4 linked regions of the Arabidopsis thaliana genome follow. The protein of the gene in region 4 purifies or fractionates together with the protein of the main gene of each other region. This does not show direct contact. Each region holds a gene or a part of one and is shown on either strand. Other genes may lie near its edges. The genes, in order: AT4G18330, EIF2 GAMMA, La1 and EMB2753.

Region 1 (4,974 bases), on a different chromosome or scaffold from region 4:
TCAGATTTCATTTCTCTCAAAATTATTTTTCTTGGTTTCATCTCATTTTTTGGAGGGATTTTTGAGAACATCTTTAAAAAAAAAATAATCTTCCAGTTCTTATTTGTTAATTCTTATAGTTTATGCTCTCATCTCACTTCTCTCAAATTTGTTTCTCTCGCAGGGATTCATGGGGAAGTTTGCCTCAAGATCTCCTCAGAAGTTCTACAAATTTGCTTAACCCTAACTTTACCGAAGGTGGGGCACTAAGAGGTGTCAACACTCATTGGAGGAACACATTTCTTTCTTTCCGTGAAGGAGGTTTCGTAGAGGAAAGGCCGTGGTTGTTGTACCGTGAAAGGGGATCCCGAGTTGCCCATTTCTATGACCCTGTGAGAGAGGAGCTACATCATGGGAAAGACCCATATCTTGAAGGGGCCAAATTCTTAGGATCAACATTGGGTTGGGTTGTTATGTCCAACTCCAGTGCCATACACCGACGTCAAGACCACCAAGCTTTCTTATACAACCCGTTCACTTCACAACGGTACCAACTACCCCTTCTCACCACTGATAACCCATGTGTGATCCGTTACGGTGTGCTCACCGGAGATCCCCGTCAAGACAACACTTATGCTTGTCTCCTAGCCGATAGCTTTCACGAAAATAATCATATGGTGATAGCGCATATGCATGCTCCTAGTCGACAAATATATTATGTAGCCAAGAGTAACGGAGACTGGGATCAGAACTGGTCAGTGACTCGTATCCCTACCTTCAACCATCCAATTTGTGGTTCGACTATAGATTCCCTCTCCCCATCTGTGGACAAAATATCAATTATTTTATGGGGCCATACTCTTGACTTCACCTTCCGAACCCAAAATTGGAATGTCTCAAATACTCAAGAGAATGATACCATCGAATGGAATCCTTTCCACGGCCAATCTTTTGATCAGATCAAACATCGACTTCAGATATTTCCACAAACTCTAGACATTATCGGCACTAAAACTGATCGCGAGAGAGTGAAAAACCGCACTTGGGGTGCTAACAACCAAATCGTTTCTTACACTGACGGAGTTTGGGTTGAGGTTCGCGCTTAGCCTAATGTTCTACCACTTGACTCTTTAAGTTATTTCTCTGTGATTGTTTTCGTTATCTATCTTTTATTTGTGTGGTTTAAGATTTTTAGTATTAATTTCTATTTATTGTGTTGCAAACTCTACTCATTGTGGTTTCGTTAGAAACTCTACTTTGGTTTGTTTATAAAAATGCTGATCTTTTATTGTTTATTTTTACGTTAAACTTAATAGACAAACAAAGAACTCTTAATTCGGTGTACATCTCTTCGTTAATATATGTAAAACATATTTTTTTTAAAAAAATTGTTTAGCAAAGAGTAAAATGAAAAATTCTACAAAAGATGTTCTCTTATTTGGCTCCTCTACAAAAAAAACTCAACTCCGATTACAAATTCGAGTTTAAATTTACAGGTTTTCAATATTGGGCCGTATTGGGTGCTAATGGTTTTACTAATAATAAGAATGGGCCTAGTTAATCATAAGGCAATGAAAAAAAGGTTTACAAAACCCTACATTTTTTACCTTCCACGTGTAAACTTCTTCCCCAATCTTACAAATCTTTAACTGTCATCGAGCGAGCTCAACATTTTTCGGACAACAAAGTGTAAGAGACTGATTAAACAAAATCGAGACTTTATAGTACTCAGGTTTGTCGGAATCGACTGAGTATCGAAATTATTGTGGTGTTTTGTGAACAGAAACCAAGGTATGCATGAAATCGTTTTGTATATAAACCCTAATATCGATTTCAGAATTTTCATTGATCTCGTTGTTTTAGCAGGATTAAAGATGGTTCAATCTGTGTTAATTTCGCGTAACAAGGGTTTGGCGGAGCAAGATCTAACTAAGCTTGATGTAACAAAGTTACATCCTCTGTTTCCTGAAGTCATTTCTCGCCAAGCAACCATAAATATCGGTAAATTACACTCTGCTTTTGCCAGCTCCTCTAGGTCTATAGTATAACTTGATGTCAAAGAAACCAATACTGTGCTAAATATATCTCAGGAACCATTGGTCATGTCGCTCACGGTAAATCGACTATAGTGAAAGCTATCTCTGGTGTTCAGACTGTGCGTTTTAAGAATGAATTAGAGCGTAACATTACCATTAAGCTTGGTTATGCAAATGCAAAGATTTACAAGTGTGAGGATGACAAGTGCCCTAGACCAATGTGCTACAAGTGAGTCATAATCTTCTTTTTGATATAATAAGGCTAAGTGTTATTATGTGTAGCAGCAGCTAATCTGTTAATTTTAGGTCATATGGGAGTGGAAAAGAAGACAACCCAACTTGTGATGTCCCCGGATTTGAGAATTGCAAGATGACACTACGGAGACATGTCTCATGTGTCGATTGTCCGGTATTAATGAGTTTAATTTACACTTTGTCTCTCAAAACTAGAACCATTGGCTATATGTAACTGAGTTGTTTTTTATTCATCAGGGACATGATATTCTTATGGCGACAATGCTCAATGGAGCAGCAATCGTGGATGGTGCTTTACTTCTAATTGCTGCTAACGAGAGTTGTCCACAACCACAAACCGCTGAACATCTTGCTTCTGTTGATATGATGCGCCTTAAGCATATCATAATCCTTCAGAACAAGATTGATCTCATTAATGAGAAAGCCGCCACTGAACAGCACGAGGCTATTCAGAAATTTATAACGGTTTGATCAATTTTCTTATCTCTCTGTTGTTAAATCTTTCATGACTTCATCAGTTTGGTTCTCATATTTTCTGTCACATATATAATGTTGCAGAACACGAATGCTGAGGATGCACCTATAGTTCCTGTCTCAGCACAACTGAAATACAACATTGATGTTGTGAGTGAATACATTGTCAAGAAGATTCCAATCCCTGTGAGAGACTTTGTGTCACCACCAAAGATGATTGTGATTCGTTCTTTCGATGTCAATAAACCTGGCTCGGCGGGTCATGAAATGAAAGGTGGTGTTGCTGGTGGAAGTATCCTCCAGGTATGTTTTTATCTCTCTGTTTCTCCTCTGTTCTTACCTGACTGTGAAACAATTTAGTATTAATATGTGTCTCTCTTTGTTTGGGTGTTTTGAAAGTGAACCAACTGATTGAAATTAGACCTGGTATCACTGGCAAAGATGAGCATGGAAACTCAAAATGCACTCCAATTTACTCGCGTATAACTTCACTATACGCGGAACAGAACGAGCTTCAGTTTGCTGTACCGGGAGGTCTAATCGGAGTTGGAACAACCATGGACCCTACGCTTACGCGTGCTGATAGGTTGGTTGGTCAAGTCCTTGGTGAAATGGGTACTCTCCCTGACGTCTTTGTTGAGCTTGAAGTAAGTTACCAGCTTCTGACTCGTCTCATTGGAGTGAGGACAAAGGAAAAAGAGAAGCAAATGAAAGTGTCAAAGCTAACCAAAGAAGAGATATTGATGGTGAACATCGGGTCTATGTCTACGGGAGCTAAGGTTATTGGAGTCAAGAAAGATATGGTGAAACTCCAACTGACGTCTCCGGTGTGTACCACCATAGGAGAGAAGGTTGCTTTAAGCCGACGTGTCGATAGGCATTGGCGTCTAATTGGTAAGGGTCAGATTATGGCTGGAACCACCATCGATGTTCCTCCTCCTCCTTTCTAATGAAGTAGTGATGAGTTTTTTATATTGTTTGCATTCAAAAATAATTAACATGTGCCTTTGTATGTTTAATCACTTTCTTTCGACTACAATATAAAACTATATTCATATTTAACACAACATTGACGAAAATTTAAAAAACAAATTCATAATTTCATTAATGATATTACTTATCACTAATTAGGAATTATATAATTCTAATTCCCTCCTCGTTCTGAGCTTTTGTTTCATCTTTACGCTCTCTCTTACTCTCAGCCAAAACCCTATACTCTCTTTCAATCCCAATGGAAGATTTGGTTTTGATGAAACAGAGTCTTCTAAAAAGCTTCATCGTCTCTCTTATTCTCACTCTCGTCTTCCTCATCTCACCATCATCATCATCTTCGAATCAAGAAACAAGAGTATCATCAACACAAAAAACGGAAGCTTATCTCAACGGTTACGAATCACCGCACCAACTCGTCTACATCAAGAAAACGACACCGTTTATCTTGAACCAGCGGTTGCAACGAGACAACCACCGTCGTCGTCGTTACAATCACCAATACTACTACTACTATCGACATACTCTTCGTCATCGCCGTGGTCTTCATCATCGTGCTGGCTACTTCAAGATGATGGCCAAGAAGAATAACGGTTTAAACCGTCCGGTTCGACAGGATACTTTCTCGGTTATGCTTCCCAAAGGATTCGTACCTCCTTCCGGTTCATCTCCATGCCATAACCAGAACCCTAATTCCGCTACTACTCTCTTTTGCGATCTTTCTACACAACCCTAGATATCGTTGCCGATACGTCGTACGTGAAACGATTTTGTTCCTCTCGTCGCACTTTTGTATTTTTCATCTTTTAAAGATTTTTTTTTCTTTTTTGTTCGGAATGACCGGTGCATTGATCAGTGCATTTTTGACGGTCAAGTGTATGAAAATAATTTGCATACTAATGTTTGATTGTTCGTGTCCTTTGATTTTTCAGAAAGTACTTATTTTTCCTTACGTGCAGCTGAATTATTTTATTCTATAAAACTAAACTTGACTGATCGGTAAAATAATATATGGAGAGAAAAAAGCATATGTGTCTATGTTTTCAAGGTCAAAACGCATCGTTTGTGGCAAGAACAAGGGAGTATATTGAGCCGATATAATTGGAAATGAGCATGTGAATTTGCATCGTGAGCATAAGCTCTTGTTTCATGGCTTTTTTTTCTTAGCTTCAGTTCCAATTCTTCGTACCGTCCACTCCAATGCATATGTTTGCATTCTAATATCTATATTATATAACTA
Region 2 (6,208 bases), about 29 Mb from region 4:
ATGTTTTTTAAAATGAGTTTAACACTTTTTTCAATTGGATGGCTTTATTTCCTTTTTTTGTTCCCCTAAGGATTAACGGTCACATAAGGAATTTAAAACCTGGAGCGGACGCTTTTTCCCCGCTTCAAGAAGGAGCGCCTCCATTACAAAGTGGAAGCTATTGGTGGAAGAGAATTTGGCTCTGTGGAAGGGCAAGCCAATAGAAGGTATTGTGGAGCAAGTGCGTGATGAAAGTACCATTCGGGTTTATCTTCTTCCAGAGTTTCAATTTGTGCAAGTATTTGTTGCGGGAGTCTAGGTAACTAAACTTGTTTCCCTGCATGAAAGGTTGGCATGTTAACCCATCACTTTGGAACACAGTCAGCGATTCTTCTCATTTCAATGGGAAGGCGAACCACAAATGCAAGTGTTGTTGAGACAGTTCCAGATGAGCCGAATGGAGACTTGCTGCCTCTGCAGTCCCGTCTATGTAACATAAGTTTTCGCACGGATATACACAGTGGAAGGCAAGACACTCAATTCAAATCGCAAACAAATAACGTTCTTTAGAGAGAAGACATGAACATTTTGACTAAAAAGTCGTATTTATTATAAAAAGTCGTACTTGATCGGATCCTAATGAGTAATGAAGTTGTTCCTTTTCTGAAGAAAGTATGTATAGTCAAGTAGCAGAGTATCTCTGACAAAAATTTCAAAAAAAAAAAGAGAGACAACAAAATTTAGTAATATCTAAGAGAAAAACACAAACAAAGAGCAAACTAGTAACAATAACAAAGAGCAAACTAGTAACAATAACAAATCAGGTACTGTTTGAAGATGTTTAATCCGCAAAGACGAACTCTCCAAAATCCCCCAACGAGAAAAAGAGTTTTATTATCTTTTTGAGGGGTTTAACAATCTTTTTTTCAGAAACACAAACAAAAAGGACAAAAATAACACATAGCTTAGAAAGGTGAAGGAGGAACTTCGATGGTGGTTCCAGCTTGAATCTGACCCCAACCAATCAAACGCCAATGCTTTTCCACACGTCTGCTTAGAGCCACTTTCTCTCCTTTGCTGGTACAAACAGGCGCAGTCAGTTGCAGTTTAGCCAGATCGACTTTAACTCCTACAACTTTGGCTCCAGTGGACATCGAACCAATGTTGAGCATCAGAATCTCTCCTTTCGTTAGCTTTGACACTTTCCCTTGTTTCTCTGATCCCTTTGTTCTCACTCCCAACAAACGTCGTAGAAGAAAGAAGTTCACCTACAGATTTTACATAACCACAAATTAAAAGGAGAAAATACACTAAGAGACCCATTAGGACCATAAAGACTGAAGAGTATGGTTGTGAGGAGTTGTTTATACCTCGAGTTCAACAAATACATCAGGAAGTGAACCGATTTCACCAAGGACTTGACCAACTAATCGATCTGCACGAGTGAGAGTTGGGTCCATTGTTGTTCCAACTCCTATTAGACCTCCAGGAACAGCAAACTGAAGCTCGTTCTGTTCCGCGTAGAGTGAAATGATGCGAGAGTAAATTGGAGTGCATTTTGAGTTGCCACGCTCGTCTTTGGTAACGATACCAGGTCGGATTTCGATTAATTGGTTGACTCTCAAAACACCCTACAATATACATGTAGTTAAGAGATACTGATTACACCATATAAAGCTTGATGTACTTAAGAGGCACAACAAGAGAAAGGGAGAGAGAGAGAATAGATACCCGTAGGATACTTCCACCTGCAACTCCACCTTTGATCTCATCAACCTCATAACCAGGTTTGTTGACATCAAAAGACCGAATCACTATCATATTTGGGGGTGACACAAAATTCCTCTCAGGGATTGGGATCTTCTTGACAATGTACTCGCACACCACATCAATGTTGTATTTCAGTTGTGCTGAGACAGGGACGATCGGAGCAGCATCAGCAACAGTGTTCTGCAACAGGATGTGAAAGAAATTTTAGAACCAAGTTCTTCAATACTTAGCTTAACCAAGTGACGAAATGAGAATGCTACAACAGATCCTTAAGAGATAAGAAAACCTAACCATTATAAATTTCTGAATTGCCTCGTGCTGATTAATGGCAACATTCTCTTGAATAAGATCAATCTTGTTCTGAAGGATGATGATATGCTTAAGTTGCATAATCTCAACGGCAGCAAGATGTTCAGACGTTTGTGGTTGTGGACAAGTTTCATTTGCAGCGATTAAAAGTAGTGCACCATCCATGATGGCTGCTCCATTAAGCATTGTTGCCATGAGAATATCGTGACCCTGAAGAATAGAACAAGAATACATTCAACAAGAATGAAGTAGAGATAAGAAAAGCAAAAGATGGAAACATCAATGAATACTTCTCCATCAACCCTCACTCTTTAAGCCCTTCACCCAATTAAATGAGAGACCCAAAATCATGCAGGTGGAGCACAACAACATCGATAATACACAATAAACGAACAGCTCATTGACACATGAAATGGTTATACACTTATACTATCAAATGAAAATGGTAATTAATGAAGAATAAAGATAACGGTAAAACTCATCATACCGGGCAATCAACGAATGAGACATGCCTCAATAGTTTCATCTTGGAGTTTTCAAATCCGGGGACATCACAATTGGGAGTGTCTTCCTTTCCACTTCCGTAGGCCCTAATACAACAGATAAGTTGTTAGACCTTGACTCAAACCTTATAGTAGAAGTAGAAGATAAAAACACTGTTGTAAGAAGGACTCACTTGTAGCACATTGGTCTAGGGCATTTCTCATCCTCACATTTGTAAATCTTGGCGTTTGCATATCCAAGCTTAATGGTAATGTTACGCTCCAATTCATTTTTAAAACGGACAGTCTGTACAGAGAAGATAAGGAAACCATAGAAATCACTTCACCCACTCCAATTGATCAAACGCTGCAAGCTAGAAAAGCCTCTAGGATTACAATTGTGAAAACCGCATAATCAAATTTTACCTGGACACCAGAAATAGCTTTAACAACAGTGGACTTTCCATGAGCGACATGACCAATGGTTCCTGAAACATAACACTATCATCTTTAGCTTATAGGAACTGCCAGTTTCTTCAACATCAACTTATATAAAAGACTCAAAAAAGCGTTACCTATATTAATAGTGGCCTGGCGAGAAATGACCTCAGGAGACAGAGGATGTAGCACAGTTACATCCAATTTTTTAAGATCTTGCTCAGCCAAACCCTTGTTCCTCGACATTATCAAAGATTGAAGCTTCTGCTCCTGCTTAAAACCGAGCATCAAATCAGAACCCTAACCCTAGTTAATCTGAAAAAGACTACTTCTCAGGTTTTTCTACATCTGCCCTAATCAAGTCGACACACAGATTCTATACCTGAGCTCCGTTACCTAAATATCACAATAATTTCGATTCGCAATCTAAAAAAACATTATGATTACGATTAGATTCCCCGAACTAATCTTCGTGCGATAGAAATGGGAACAATTAGGTTGAACAAATATTGAATCCGTAGGAGATGTAATTCGAGATCGAAACGAACCTGAGCGATGCGAAAGAACAACGGAGAAGGTCAAATTTGAGAGATAAAAAAGAGTGAGAAAGCGGCGCAGCTTGAAGAAGATGCACAAAATGGTTTTTTTTTTTCTATCCAAGTCCCTAAAGGGTTTTTGGTTTCCTTCGCGTAACCTTTTTTTTTTTTCCCTTTCTAAAATTTCTTACAAAATAATGAAATACTAGTATTTAATTAAATTACTATCAGTAGAGACTAATTTACTTTTTCTATGAATCAAAGTATCAAACCCAAAACATTTCATCATATTAATTTTATGTGCAGGGCCGGCCCGACTAAATTTAATGCCTAAAAGCAAAAAACAATTTGGCCCAACATAAAACACAGTTAAACAAAAAAAACCATAAAACTTTTAGAATTCGAACTTGAGACAGACACCTCAAGTGAAAGGCCTATTTGCGATCGACTATAAGCGTTCGTGTTCCTCTATCTCTCTCGGGTTTGTCAATTTATCTTTCCGAACCAGTTATGAATTTGTTTTTTTTTGGAAGGTTTTGAAGTCTTTGAATCTCGGCTGTTGAAGTCAGAAACGTTGGTTTTAAACCAATATCACCAGGTGTAATGGAGTTTGATTGAGTCCCAAATTTTTTAAAAAAAAATCACTGAAAAGAGTTGGGGCAAGTTTATAACAAATTAAGTAGATTAATTCTGTACAACAACAACAAAGGATCTTCATCGTGTAGAACTTGAGCCGTGAAAAAAAAAAACCAGATAATAATCTTGGGTCTAAAATGGAGAAAAAACTTTGAAATGGGGTCAAATAAATAAATGAATGAATTGGTGAGAGAGAAATCACAGAGGTTTTGCAAGAAAGAAACAACCCCACAAGAAGTAAAAATTTACACTTTTGTAATCTTCTTTCCTTTTGGTTCAAGAAGGCACCCCTCCCCCACTCAGACTAAAAAGAAACAGAGGAAGAGCTTTTTTAGAATCCGAGCTTCTCACTAGTGCAAGAATACGAATTCTGGGTTTTCCAGTAGCTCTTTGGCCGGTTTGACACTCGCAAAGTCTTTTTCGTGCATCGAATTCGAAATCTCGTCTATTGAGAAGGGAATGCTGCGAACAATAAACCGGTTTTAGTTTCTACTACTGATATTAATCTTTAAGAAATGATTCGAGTTACCTGGAATTATCATCCAACAAGAAGGAATTGCTGTCGGCATCGTTGGATTCTTCTGTCATGAGCGCACGCATGCTCGATATTACCTCTTGAGACACACTTCGGGTGTTATAGCAGTCGTCCCAGTATAATGTGCATATCCGGTAAAGTTGTTGGACACTAAGGATCTGTAATAAAGTGAAACAAGAAAGCCATTAAGTATGGAGTCTAGGCAAAAACGTGTTTCTAGAAACTAAGAAGGAGCTTTACCGGGCAAAGATCATGTACTATATCATCGTATGATACTCTGTACTTCTGGTGGATAACCTGATAAGTTACGAGAGGAGAAGTATTCGTTTTTGAAGATTCAAGAAACAAGAGTTCCACAAGTTAGTATTAAACAAGAGTAAAACATACCAGGAACCCAACAGCTTGTCTGATGTGTTTCAGTTCATCCCAAGATGGCCCAGCATACTGCAAAATCAAAGAATGATATAATGAGCCGAAAGAAACTTTTTCCGGAAGGAAAACGTGAGGTAGGAACTTACTTCATTGACTTGGCCGCACCACAATTCTAGCTCTGCAAGCCCAGACTTTACAAATTCTCCATTGCTGAATGTACAACACTCTTTACGCAGTAGAAGGCTATTGTAAGATGTTAAGGAAAAAACCAAGTAAGAAAACACTAGTGATCTTGGCTTATATCTTCCATAGGAATTTGAGAAATATCAACCATAGGAAGGTTTGTACTTTGACGAGTATCGATGATAAGGTGTGTAGAAACCATTAGATGTAATTCTCAAGTATTATTTACCTGTTAAATAGTTGCACATTGACGAACGAGAAAGTTTGAGTGTGTATCTTCTGGATGAGTACCAAAGGAACCTGTACACCATGAAACATATGAGAATTTGAGGATTTGAAAACAGAATAATGTCATGGAACTTTTACTATTTCCTTACATAATTATCTTTCAATATGGCAAGCAGCGAATTGAGACCATCAATAATGCTCTGCCAGTGAATAGCAGGAGAATCTTTTCCAAGAGATCTAGCAGATCTTTGTATCCCTCCTTTTGAAATTCTCGGTGCCTGAAGTTCAAAGTTTTGACAGAACAGGACTTGTTACAATAGTAAAACACATTTATTATCAAGGTGCAACGCAACAAGCGAGTGGTCACAGCATTAGGATACAACAACGTAAAGTCAGGACAAAAATATATAGCTGCAAAGAGAGAAGTCAATGAAACCTGAATGCACATAGATATTAAAGCTGAGAGCTCTTTCTTCAAGTTATCCCTAATCATCCCAAATATTTTCTCCACATATGCTGCAAGCTGTTGCTTGAAAAGCAGAGCCGGGTATTTTGCCTCCACTGGGCGGATCACCGCAAGAGCAGCAGCTTCAGCCGCAGCAGCAAGGTTTGGTGATGAGCGGAAGCTCTGGTTAAACAATAAGGGAAAGGATAGTTAAGATTCAAAGTAAAAGATCCGTCAAAAAGCCCTACTAACACAGAAAGTTAAAATACCAAGGCCATTCTTCCAAACAAGGAAG
Region 3 (5,944 bases), on a different chromosome or scaffold from region 4:
TGAAAAATCAGGAAGAAGTCTCCGTGAAAACTAACAAAAATGTGACCATAATAAGAGAAGGAGACGAGGTCATACGAGTAAAGCTCACACCTTGCAGATCAACGAATTCCAAAATTAATCTGAAGTAATTAAGACGCTGAGAATCCAGATGAAGAAGAAGAAGAACACAAATCGAAATCGAAGTCGAGAGAGAGAGAGAGAGAGAGAGAGAGAGAGAGAGAGAGAGAGAGAGAATGAGAGAGAGAGAGAGAGGTATTCAAAACTCAAACATGGAGAGGCGGACGGAATTCGAAGTGAGAGAGAGAGAGAGAGAGAGAGATCAAAACAAAAAGGAAAGTGATCTCAGCCGTTGATTTCAATCTCTGAATCTCGCTTTTTAGTCTCTCATATCATAAAAGTTCAATTTATTTATTTATACGTTTCTTCATTCATTTTTCTTTCGAGATTCTCTGTTGCTTCTTCTTCTAAACAACGGCAAAGCATTCTTTGTATGAAAGAAGAGTTTTTTTCTCATTAAAAAGGAAGAAGATGAAATTGCCAGTAACAGCTAATTCTAAAATCAGCATAAAAACCTAATAACAATGTAGACAAAGTCAAACGAGAAGACCAAGAAGAATACCAAAACTATTTGATTTTCAAAATTAATTTTAACTACTTCAAGTAAAATAGTGTCATCATCAGTGAGTCAATTGATACAGTTGTAGAATTTACAGGAATATACTTTTAGCAGTTAATATTAATAGTTTGTCTTTTAGAATGCTTCCTAAACATCGATTTAAAATAATTAAGGAAAGAGATGTGTGCATAAGAAGGCACATAAAGCTAAACAAAACAATACCAAATATGACTAAACCAAAATTTGCCAAATAAGCAGCTATTTCTAGTTATAACATCACGAGTCACCAGTCGATACATTAAATTTAAAGTTGCAACTAGAAATATATTGAAAAACAGAAGCAGTCACGAGCGAAATCTCTCATGCTTCCACCTTCTGAGATTTGTTCCAGCGACCACCCGGTGAATCTGATCCCCTCTTTCTCCCGAATCTCCCTCCTCTTCTTCCTCCCCTGCATAGACCAAGTATATTATTATCTGAAGAACCAAACAAAAACTTCATTTGAAACAAAATCATAACAAAGAAACCAGAACAAAAACATGAACTCACCTTCCTCCACGGCCACCCTTGTCAAACCGATCTTTGCTTCGTAGGAGAGTCCAATACTCCTTTTCAGCTTCGCCTGACAGAGAGCAATATAAACAAGTGACCATTTAACTAAAGCAGAACACAAGGTTTAGTTATAAGATAAGATTGAAGTTGAAAAGGTGTTTTTACCAATAACAGGTTCTAGGACAGCAATAAAATTCTTCACGGCTAGTCCACCTTCATTGGCTAATACTGCTGCTGCACGGGCTTTCTGGGATGCTTCAGGTTCATCAAACCTAAGATAACCCGTCTCAGATCCCATCTTGAAATCAACAAACTTCACAACAAAAAGAATAAAGGAATCAGTGAAAATGATGTCAGTTATATGAGATATTGAATCTGATTCATGTTGACAGACAGCTAAGTAAAACTCAAGTAGTACCTTGACATCACCAAATTTTCCGAAAACAGCCTTAAGATCTTCACGTAAGACAACATCCTTATTATCTTTATGGGTGGCTAGAGCACCCTTTTCTTCTTTCTCATCATCTTCATCCTCTGCTCCCTCGGCCTGAACCTCACCAGTGTTTTCTTTATCAGCATCAGGAGTATCTGCTGGCTTTGTTTCACTTTCTTCCATTGTCTTATCAGTTGGCTCCTCAGAACTTTTTTGTTCCGTGGTACCCTCTTCAGCTGAACGCTTGAGGGTGAATGAAATGATCAAACCCTTGGGATAACTACAATACGATAAAATAGCCATAATCAGATCAAGAGGATTATTAGCATGAAAAGACAAGTAATTAGATAGCAACAGTCAAACCCCTACTCTGGCTCATAAGCAGAATTGTTTTTGTGATCAGAACCATTCTTCTGATTTGCAGATCCCTTCTGAGGTTGGTAATTAGCAAATTTTACTTCATCCTTCTCCCTTTCATTATCAAACTCTTTCCTGAAAAGAATATATCACCTTTTAAGTAACCCATCCAAACATTCAATGGAAAGACTTGTAAAATGAGAAACAGTCAGCAAACAGGACATGTTTTCATGTCTAAGTATGATTACTTTGGTTTCAGCTCCAACTCCTGACCAGCAAAGACCAAATTCTGCTTCATAACATTCTGGGCATCCTCTTCTGTAGGGAACTCAACCAAGGCAACACCAGAAAATATCCTCGACTCTGCAACATGACGAGGCATCCTCACACTATTAACCTGCAAGGACGACACATACATATACCAAAAACTTGTATAACCAATCTAAATTTTGAACAATGGCTTATGATTCAATCGATAGTGGATTACCTTTCCATACTGACTGAAAAAGGATTCCACGTCTTCCCTTTTAACATCATAGGAGAAAGGTGACGCAGCTACTGTTCTAGCATTAAGTTGCTCAATCAAATCTTCCAGCTTCAACAATTCAGTACTCCTACCAACCTTTTTCCCTGTTTAAGAAAATCCAACAAAATTGATCACTAAACTGTACAAAACATATTTCTCCAATCTGACACCACATATTATCAAACTTGTAAAATCCACATGCAAAGACTTTTCTTAATGAAACTAAGTTTAAACTATGCACTACACAGGCCATTCACCTATAATTGAAACTCTCAAACTATTATCTTTCTTCTAAGATATCACTACTTCGTTTGAATCAATTAAAGCAATTGTTAACTATATCCAAACCCAACAGAAACTTGATTATATCATGAAACTCACCATCGTCAGAAATCTTGAGAGCAGAAGAGGTTCGAAGAGTATCAGCAACAGCTTTGATGGTATCTTCAGGAATATCATCTCCTTTAGAATCACCCAACTTCAAATATCCTCTCATCTTACTAAAGGAGCAAATCAACGCCAAACTCACCACTATTTGACAAACCAAAAAATCATCAATTAGCCATAACAAAAAAAAATCAAAATACACAGCGATAGCGACTGAATTTGTTTAAAAGTTTAAAACTTTACAGCCATCTTCGCTCTCTGTAACAGTCTTCTTGAGGAAATCATCAATGGGTAGATTACTATCACTGAAATAGAACTCCACCTATAAAATCGATATCAAATATCAGAACATAATCGAAAGAAAAAAAACTGGTGAAGCTACTAGAGAGGAACCGCAGAAGAAGAAGAAGAAGACAAGTTTGTACCTGGCGAAGAACAGTTTTGGCTGTCTCTTCGGTTAGACAAGGAATCGACATAATTGCTCAATGGCTCGAGCGAAAGATAGAGGAGGAGGAAGATAGAAGAATAAGAGAGAAAAAGGGTACTAGGGTTTATTGAGACACAGTTTCCATTTTCTCTTAAAGTTTTCGAGTCAAATTGTCATTTATTTATTTATTTTTTGGTTTTTCGCTATTGATTATATTTGTATTTCGTATTAACCCTTGACTTTTTTAATACTATCAATTTAACCCCACCCACTATACTTTAGAATGTAACAAAATTACCCCAAATAATCCTACACTATCTGATTCACCCCATTACGTCTTTTCGTTGGCAATTGATCAATATTTTCACGATTTTTTTCAATGATCAAGATCAAGACTTGAACCAAAAATTCATACTTCAATCAGCACAACATTTGTATTTTTGAGTCGTGAAAACACTACAAACTCTATCAACAATTCTTATTTAGTTGTAAAGAGATATATTGATTATAGAGTTACAGCTTACGTTTGTTTTGGAGTACAATGAGATTGACATTCGCAATAATGTTTGTACTTGTGTAACATAACAACGTTATTACATGTGCAGCTAAGAAACTTTTTTTTAGATTGATCAGTCATGTATCTCATGCACAACTTTTCTCCGTCTTGGCTACATTTACCGTCCAAGTCTCCTATCGTTGTACACAGTTTCTCAGCTTCCACTTCTATTGTTTTCTCAACCACACAAACCAAAAAAAAAAAAAAAAACGTTAATTTTAGTTCGATTAATAAACAAATGACAATCCAAATAAGTTCACTATTAAACCATATGTTAACGTTGTAACAATGCTTTTTATTTCCTTTAATCACAACACCGTTTTTGCAATTAGAAAGAACATCCTTGTTTTATATCTTATTATATACGAGTTACGTCCATACAAAAAAAACTCAACATATTACCTTTACCACCTCTCAGAACGAGTAACATGAGAGTATAAGAAACTATAAACCAAATAACAGATCTCATGATTGAAAAGCTGATAAGAATTATTAATTATCTCTATAGTTGCAGAAAACTATTGTTTGCCTCTCGAATTTTTTATCTTTCTTATCAACAACACTCATAATAAATATATTCGAGATATCGTAAAAATAGATGCATCTTTTTTTAGAATTTGCTTTGTAAAATTCAACGAGCCTTCTTAATTAACGAGTTCGACGGATCAACTCTTTCTTTTTTGGAAAAATTCTTCTTTGTAAATCTACTTACTAGTATTATATATTTTTCACTTTTTTTTTTTGCGTGTATTGTGATGACGCATCACCTATTCTTTTCAAAATACACAGTTCTAACCTTGATAATCTAAACTCACAAAATCCATAAGACCATTAATTTACAATGTTTAATCCATTGAAAATTAATCTATAGACAAACGTTCAATCTTTATAAAACAAATTTATGGTTTTCTGGGATCAATCCTACTAGCAAGGAATAGATGAAGCAGAGATGCTATGGGAAAACATTCAGGTTGTGTACTGTGTAGGATCAATCAACTCGACCGTCGTCGATCATTTGACGATAGGCCAAGGATCCAAAGGTTCACACTACTGTTCCCGAGGCTTCACTTGGCTGATGATTTTTTTTTTATATGGTTATGTTGTATGTGGGGGGAATCATCGAGAGACCTCATCCAGGATGTTATCCTTAAGAGACAGAAAAGCTTAGGGAGTGAACTTTTTTTGGTATTGAAACATATTTTTTTGTTCTGTATACTAATTTTATTTGTCCACATAAGTTTTCAAACAAATTAATAAACAGTTTGTATTAAAATTACATCAATATTACAAATGCTAATAATTAATTTTTAAAAATAAAAGATTGAAGTCTGCAGATAACATGATAGTATTAGTATTGTAGTACCATGGCCAATTACAAAATGCGTAATTACACTATAACAGGATCAATACAATTTGGAAAACTGAACGTGGAAAATAGATTGATTGGAAAACTCATACTAACTACTTAGAAAGAAGTAACTCATAACTTTATTAAAAATTTGTGTGGAAAAAGAGAGATACATTAGAATAACATAACTTATTTATGGGTCATGAAAATGACAACACTACAAACACTCATAACAATTCTATTAGTAAAAACTAAAAAATAGGTAAAAGCAATGTTGGTTAGGGGAGTTTATCCTGAGCAGCGATGTTTACAGTCGCAAAAACGTTTGGTCTTGTGTAACATGTAAAGGTTAGTACATGTGCAGCTAACATGTCTTTCTTTCTTATATTTATTCGTCATGAATTTCAAGCACCCCTTCTCTCCTTCAAAGTCACAATTTCCATCGATGTCTTCTATTCTATTACACAGTTCTTTGGCTTCCACTTCTACAACAAGAACTGTTAGTTTGTTTTTGGTTGAAGCTCTTTAGATAAAACAATTATTGATAATGCAAAAAAAAAAAAACAAAACAAAAAACATTGTTCTAGAACAACATTTTTGTTAGTTTTTTCTAATGTCAACACTGTAATTTTGTTTGCCAATAATTTGTAAGGGTCATAGTTCTATATTACGCAAGTAACGAAACAGAATCGAAAGAAAATATCTGGTATATATTACCTTTACAGACGCTAAGAACGAGAAA
Region 4 (5,789 bases):
TTCTCATCTTGCAGAAAATCCAATGGTATCCTCTGAAATGGGGAAATAGAAAATAACTTAATACCAGTTTTAGAATTTTACGTATCAGCAGCCAAAAAAAACATCAGACGGGTAAAACATGGGTAGCCACTACTAGCTCCCTATGAAGTAGAAGGATACTAGAAAATGTATTACACTTCAGGCACTGATATGCCTTATCTCACCTTAACAGCGGATGACCGAGTGTACTGCTCACTTAGAGACTGGTACAAAGCATTTAACTTTTCAATCTGGTCGGACGAATATTGACCACTTTCTGAATACAATCCAAGGCATTTTTGGAGGCCCTCATGATATCTGAAAAAGCAAGGAATGCACTTTTTATTTGTTTACAAAAAATTGACAGTACCAAAAATATATAGAAGCCTTTGAGAGTAGCAAAGGTATAGACCGCCAATGCCAAAGATAATGAAGCAGGGCAAACAGATGTGACAATTGAGAAAAACGAAAAAATACACAGATAATTTCTTTAGAGCTACTTTGAAGTGCAAGGAAAAAACCTGTAATTGTCAGGGTTCATGGAAAGTAAAACCCTGTAGAGTTTATTGGCTTCTTCTAGACGACCAACCTTTGACAAGAGAGATACCTCTTGTTCTTTGTAAGACAACTTATCAACCTACAAACAAGCAAACGAGGAATGTTAAATCTACTATTATGTGTGCATCCTATTATCCAAATACATTCAACCATCAGTTTTGTGAACTTACTATTTTCGGCTCTTTTTTGTGCAACTCCTCAAGAGCTTTGTCAAAAGAACCACTCTCCTCAAGCAAGGAAACCTGAAACGAAAAAAAAATCCAGATGAGATTTCCTGCAGCTACAGCTATGAAAAATGTGCTAATGCCAACTGTAGGTTGCTCAAACAGGGAAGTTTCAGGGGGAAAGAGTGAACAGAACACCACCACTCCAGGTGGCTTGGAGAGACTTTCCAGGGTTCATATCCAATTATACTTGAGAGAGTTATGCTTTTGTCACAAAAGAATACAGGTGTGATTCACAAAATGTATGATACAAGCAGTAAGCCATATTTTGTATCAACCAACTTGTACTTTTGGTATTTTCGTCAATAGGAGAAAAATGTGTGAAACCCGTTTAGGCAAGCATGATTTTTCAGGGAAAAAAACTTAGAAAGACAACAGTCAATATATGATAGTTGTAAAGTTTCTGGTTGATACCTTGTATAGAATCATTTCTGTGTGTTCAATTAGCTCGTTCTCAGGAGGATAGTCATCCTCTAAGGTGCCTTCATACGCTTCCAAAATTTCAACAGCTTTAGAAGCACTGGTTTCAGGAGAAAATAGAACAAGTTAAGAGATCAAGGTTGATATACATGGCTAGCTTTTACTAGTAAAGAAAAGATGTTCACAGAAAATTCTACTGTATGTTCATTGGTATATTATTTCCTAAAAATCTGATGCAAGATTCGTACCAACATAGGCATCCACTATCTACTCCTTAAAGTGTTCAAGACTATAATTCCAAATCATATGCCATTAACCAGCTAGCCAATAGTCCAAAGAGGAAAAACTAGCATTCCATTCAAATGAGTAAAGTGGTTTAACATATTTAGATTTATGGGGTCAAGGACAATAACATACTTTGCGTTTAAATGCTGAGAGACTGCAAAGCCAATCCAGTTCATTCGGTGATTAGGCTTCAATGTCAAAAGCTGCTGCCTGGTCTCCACAAAACCGGATAAGTCCCGCATTTGTGCCTAGGAAAAAGAAAGTAACCAATATGATTAACTATTGAAAGCATCAAAAGAGATTAAAATTGGAACAAGCTTTACACAAAGTAAAGTGATAAAAAGTATGAAAAATCAGCTTTGAGAATAACTGGCACACCTAATAAATTCACCTCAATCTAGTTTTTCTCATAATTACCTGCAGAAGTGAGAGGTCTCTGAGTATTTCAAGGTTATCAGGATCTATTCTAAGAGCATTTCGGTAGCATTTGATTGCTTCTCTATACTCTCTGTCTGACCGGTACAAAAGACCAAGCACATGCCAGCAAACATGGCTTTTGATATCATTCTGCATGAAAAAATTTGAAGTATATAAATCCTATGTTACCCTGAAAACAAAATACCATTTTGGAAACTAAGGAATAAAGTTGTGATTATTGAAGAGCATATTCAAACCTTCACTCCAAGTCGAACAAGCTCATATGCTTCAGTTTTGCGGTCCATACAGTTTAGAGTCAGTCCTTTCATCGATAAAGTCTCTGAAAATCACAAACAATAAGAGCGACAAGTTTTAAAAGAAAGAAAAGAATAACGAAAAGGGTTGACAAATCAAAAAAAGCAAGAACTGCGTTTAACACGAAACAGAACTGGTCTCTACTAACAAAACTAAACAATACCAAGCATTACCCTTGTACTAAAAAGTTAATTTATTTGCTCTAATAGGAAGAAAGAAAATAAAAATTCTAACAGTGATTGATTCTTAAGACTATAGACAAGACAACGAAGCGCCTAGTAGACCTACAAGTCATGAGATCTCGGTTGATGTATGTAGTATAGAGTTGTAAGTATTTAGATAGCAGTAAAAAGATTAGCACTAAATCACAAAGGAATAGAAGGAGATATTAGATAAAAGACAAACTGACCTCCATGATCAGGAAACTTTTTTAATATGGCATCAGCTGCCTTGAGTCCCTTCTTGTACTGCTTAGTCTCATATGATTTCTGCATTATAAGATTACTCAGAATAACTATATATGATGTACTTACTTGCGAAAATTACATAAAGAAAAAGGTCAACTATTCAAAGCAGGTTGAACAATATAATGGTTAAACCCAAAATCTATGCTGAAACCATATATATATTGATAAAGCTTGGTTTTCAAGTTCTTCAAAGTAAACTACGAATCCCTGAGCGACTAAAAAAGCCCAGAAGCAATCGAGGTCTAATAATAGCCGATAGTCAAAAGTAACTGAAGCTAAGAACTTGGTACATCAAATTAACACATTAAGGAACCACAACTCCGCACAGTTTACTTCATATGTCAACGAATTTTTCTATTGACCCAACACATTGACGATTAACTTAATTTAGGGTTTAATAGAGCAGATAAAACTCATCGTATTCCAATTTCTGCTGACCAGGAACATCACATCGCATGTTTAAGACAAAGTAAAAACTGAGAAAGAAAGAGAGGGAATCGGAACATACGACGATGAGCTTGAAGAGGTTGGCCTCCTTAGGAGGAAGCGAAGCCCCCATTTTATTGCGCTACTGAGAGAGCTCGCGAAGACGAAGACGGAGAAGAAGAAGAAGAAGATGTTCTTCGCGAGTTCGATAGGGTGAGAGAGAGATAGAGGTGGCGTACTATCCGCTTCAACCCTACTGCGAAACAAAGAAAGGCACAACTCTCACAAGACAAAACCCAATAAGGGTATAAATAAATTAGGGTCTTGTCTTCAATCAATCTTCTTCGATCCTAACCATATCGGTACATGTTTCCGGTTTCAATTCGTTTGTCTGATATTACAAAACGGTTATTAAATTGGATAGAACCAAACCGGTTCAAAACTGGAGACATCTGAACCTAATTGACCAAATCAAATTTGTATTAACCGATCAAATTCATCGTCAATCGACACTAAAAAGTATCAAATCAAACCGACTTATTAATTGCAACCGATTACATCTCTCAATCGAATCCAAACCAGCATAAATAAATTCTAATTAGAAACATTCTTTCCGAACCAAGCAGACCGGATTATTTCAAATTTTTATCAGTAATAACATCCTACTCAAACCGAACAAACCGAGTATAACAAGAATTCTTGGAATTCCTTAAGAGATCATATGCAAAATGAAACAAGTTTGATCTAAAGACACTCTAAAGAAACGTTCCTATAAGCAAGTTCGATCTCTTCTTCAGTCATCTCAACGGTCATATCACTGTCATAGCCACAAGCAACCCGAGAGGTCGATTCATCTTCGCCCGGTTTTGCTAGCTCAGCTTCGTAGATCTTTTTCCACGACTTTGCTTGTTTGCAAACTTCTTCCTTTGATGCTGTTGAATTTTCCTTTTTAGAAGACGATTCCATCTTTCCAAGCTCCTTCACTACACGAGGGACAAAGCTCCATAGCTCTGTAACTGATCCAATGTCCTAAAATTAAGAACATTCGAGAATAAATTCAACCAATGATCTTCTCAAAGAAACTGATCAAAGTTTAACAAATCCAAAAATGTACACAGGCGGCAACTATTATTGTTCAGACTTCAGAGATATTAACCTGCTTCTGTTCAAGAGAATCTATGGCGTCTTGTAAGCAGGTTAAGACTCCTTCCGCAGCTATTCGCTTGATTTCGCCTGGTTCTGGCTGTTACAATGGCTTTAGAATAACGGAAACATACAATCAAGAAAACATGTCTTTTGAAAGAGCATATTAATTCCCTTACTTTTTCCTCCTGACTCTCAAGCCATGAGATGGTTTGACTTAGGTCATCCCTGGCCCATTTCTTCACCTCTGTAACAAAAAATGGCTCTTTCACAAGATTGCAAGCTGATCTATTCTGTGAACATATGGAAATAAACAGTCATAGACCATTGATTGGAGCAAAATACGGTTCGTTTTGGTTAACCAAATCATCAGATTTAAACATGCCTTGGATGAGGTAGATGGTGTTCCCCTTGTTTCTGTTTTTTTCTCTACTTGCTTCTCTGGTTTTTTAGACAGGTGTTCTCTCTTTTCTGAATACAATCAATTAAGGTTCACAGAGTCAACTAAACATCGGAGTGAAGCAGTGCAATAAGAAAAGCTTTTCTCTTGTCATAAACGTAAAAACAAGGTGATTTGATGAACCTCAGGATGGTTAAAACGGAGATTCTATCTAAAGCCTTTCCAATATAATTCTTTTTACCTCGATTAGCATCTTGGGGACTACTGCTTTTCCTCCATGGTTTTCCAGCATGCATAAGGTATTGCTCGATATCTACCAACTTCTTCTGCGCATAACACTCAGTTATCCACTCCTGGAGACAGTGAAATCATATAAAATATCAGCAAAAAGGAGAAATTCAAATCCGCACACAATCCCTTATAAGAAGAGTCAAAGAGGTAACCTTTGAGATAATTGTTCCACCATTTGTTTCAACTTGACGGAACTTTGGAGTGTTAGGAAAAGCACAAATCAACAAGGTAGAGCCAGCGTTCCAGTCAGGTTGATAGGTGGCTCCCATTGTCAAGGCTTGTGACCTCAGTGTACTCCTCTCAGGATTAACAAAGCCCGAAAGTACAAAAACAACGCCTTCCTGCATAGTTTAACCTTCAACTCAATCACAAAAGCATATAAACTAACATGACAGCTTAAGATAATTGAGTCTCAACAAGACCATGAAGACACACACAAACCATAAGTTTAGAGAATTCAGTGGTATTTGAACTTGGCTCGGCGTGTTCTGACTTGTTGGAAGGGGCATTTCTACTGTTGTGCTCTTCGGTTGGTCCTTCATCCTTAGGCTTCTTACAATGAGACTTACTCGGAGTAATCTCGGGATCCCTAGAACTCATCCAAGAAGGAAGATTTCGCTTCTGAGACATCTTGTCCTTTACAGTGGAGAGAATACTAACACAGCTTTCGTCCTACAAAGAAACACTATTATGAACCTAAGCCACTAGTTACTTGAAACTCCAGGAAAATATTGCTATTGCATCGCATCTAGCACAACACAAAGCCAGAGAGAAAACGGTGCAAATCTGCAAAAAATGTAAAACATTCCCTAAGAAAGACAAATC

The links.
Region 1: the proteins of EMB2753 (region 4) and AT4G18330 fractionate together in Arabidopsis thaliana (co-fractionation; one large-scale study listed by BioGRID). This does not show direct contact.
Region 2: the proteins of EMB2753 (region 4) and EIF2 GAMMA fractionate together in Arabidopsis thaliana (co-fractionation; one large-scale study listed by BioGRID). This does not show direct contact.
Region 3: the proteins of EMB2753 (region 4) and La1 fractionate together in Arabidopsis thaliana (co-fractionation; one large-scale study listed by BioGRID). This does not show direct contact.

The regions. Positions count from the first base shown.
Region 1 is NC_003075.7:10,124,894-10,129,867, forward strand, and holds AT4G18330 (Translation elongation factor EF1A/initiation factor IF2gamma family protein), read left to right. Parts: upstream 1-1,685; 5' UTR 1,686-1,770; intron 1,771-1,842; 5' UTR 1,843-1,853; coding exon 1,854-1,980; intron 1,981-2,069; coding exon 2,070-2,244; intron 2,245-2,321; coding exon 2,322-2,424; intron 2,425-2,507; coding exon 2,508-2,735; intron 2,736-2,828; coding exon 2,829-3,047; intron 3,048-3,130; coding exon 3,131-3,694; 3' UTR 3,695-3,841; downstream 3,842-4,974. Other genes in the region: AT4G18320 (uncharacterized protein), read left to right, coding at 123-1,085; AT4G18335 (uncharacterized protein), read left to right, coding at 3,976-4,470.
Region 2 is NC_003070.9:1,094,439-1,100,646, reverse strand, and holds EIF2 GAMMA (eukaryotic translation initiation factor 2 gamma subunit), read right to left. Parts: upstream 3,766-6,208; 5' UTR 3,527-3,765; exon of another isoform or gene 3,361-3,526; intron 3,249-3,360; 5' UTR 3,225-3,248; coding exon 3,116-3,224; intron 3,029-3,115; coding exon 2,967-3,028; intron 2,848-2,966; coding exon 2,735-2,847; intron 2,649-2,734; coding exon 2,546-2,648; intron 2,269-2,545; coding exon 2,041-2,268; intron 1,930-2,040; coding exon 1,711-1,929; intron 1,611-1,710; coding exon 1,350-1,610; intron 1,248-1,349; coding exon 945-1,247; 3' UTR 746-944; downstream 1-745. Other genes in the region: XIB (myosin XI B), read right to left, coding at 4,501-4,612, 4,680-4,843, 4,926-4,982, 5,073-5,129, 5,204-5,300, 5,470-5,540, 5,618-5,746, 5,905-6,096 and 1 more.
Region 3 is NC_003075.7:15,784,716-15,790,659, reverse strand, and holds La1 (La protein 1), read right to left. Parts: upstream 3,467-5,944; 5' UTR 3,348-3,466; coding exon 3,297-3,347; intron 3,194-3,296; coding exon 3,115-3,193; intron 3,016-3,114; coding exon 2,866-3,015; intron 2,589-2,865; coding exon 2,446-2,588; intron 2,356-2,445; coding exon 2,207-2,355; intron 2,094-2,206; coding exon 1,971-2,093; intron 1,882-1,970; coding exon 1,587-1,881; intron 1,482-1,586; coding exon 1,334-1,481; intron 1,239-1,333; coding exon 1,166-1,238; coding exon of another isoform or gene 1,162-1,165; intron 1,068-1,161; coding exon 977-1,067; 3' UTR 664-976; downstream 1-663. Other genes in the region: SCRL24 (SCR-like 24), read right to left, coding at 3,819-4,021, 4,257-4,323; SCRL25 (SCR-like 25), read right to left, coding at 5,491-5,687, 5,920-5,944. UniProt on the Arabidopsis thaliana protein: Binds to the 3' poly(U) terminus of nascent RNA polymerase III transcripts, protecting them from exonuclease digestion and facilitating their folding and maturation.
Region 4 is NC_003070.9:30,231,570-30,237,358, forward strand, and holds the start of EMB2753 (tetratricopeptide repeat (TPR)-containing protein), read right to left. Parts: upstream 3,417-5,789; 5' UTR 3,264-3,416; coding exon 3,213-3,263; intron 2,726-3,212; coding exon 2,647-2,725; intron 2,263-2,646; coding exon 2,180-2,262; intron 2,073-2,179; coding exon 1,923-2,072; intron 1,754-1,922; coding exon 1,638-1,753; intron 1,321-1,637; coding exon 1,215-1,320; intron 819-1,214; coding exon 747-818; intron 656-746; coding exon 540-655; intron 337-539; coding exon 204-336; intron 33-203; coding exon 1-32. Other genes in the region: ATXRCC1 (BRCT domain-containing DNA repair protein), read right to left, coding at 3,875-4,159, 4,287-4,373, 4,453-4,566, 4,659-4,744, 4,915-5,026, 5,117-5,305, 5,406-5,594. UniProt on the Arabidopsis thaliana protein: Auxiliary subunit of the NatA N-alpha-acetyltransferase complex. Required for male gametocyte development, embryogenesis, suspensor development and the formation of the quiescent center (QC) in the root meristem.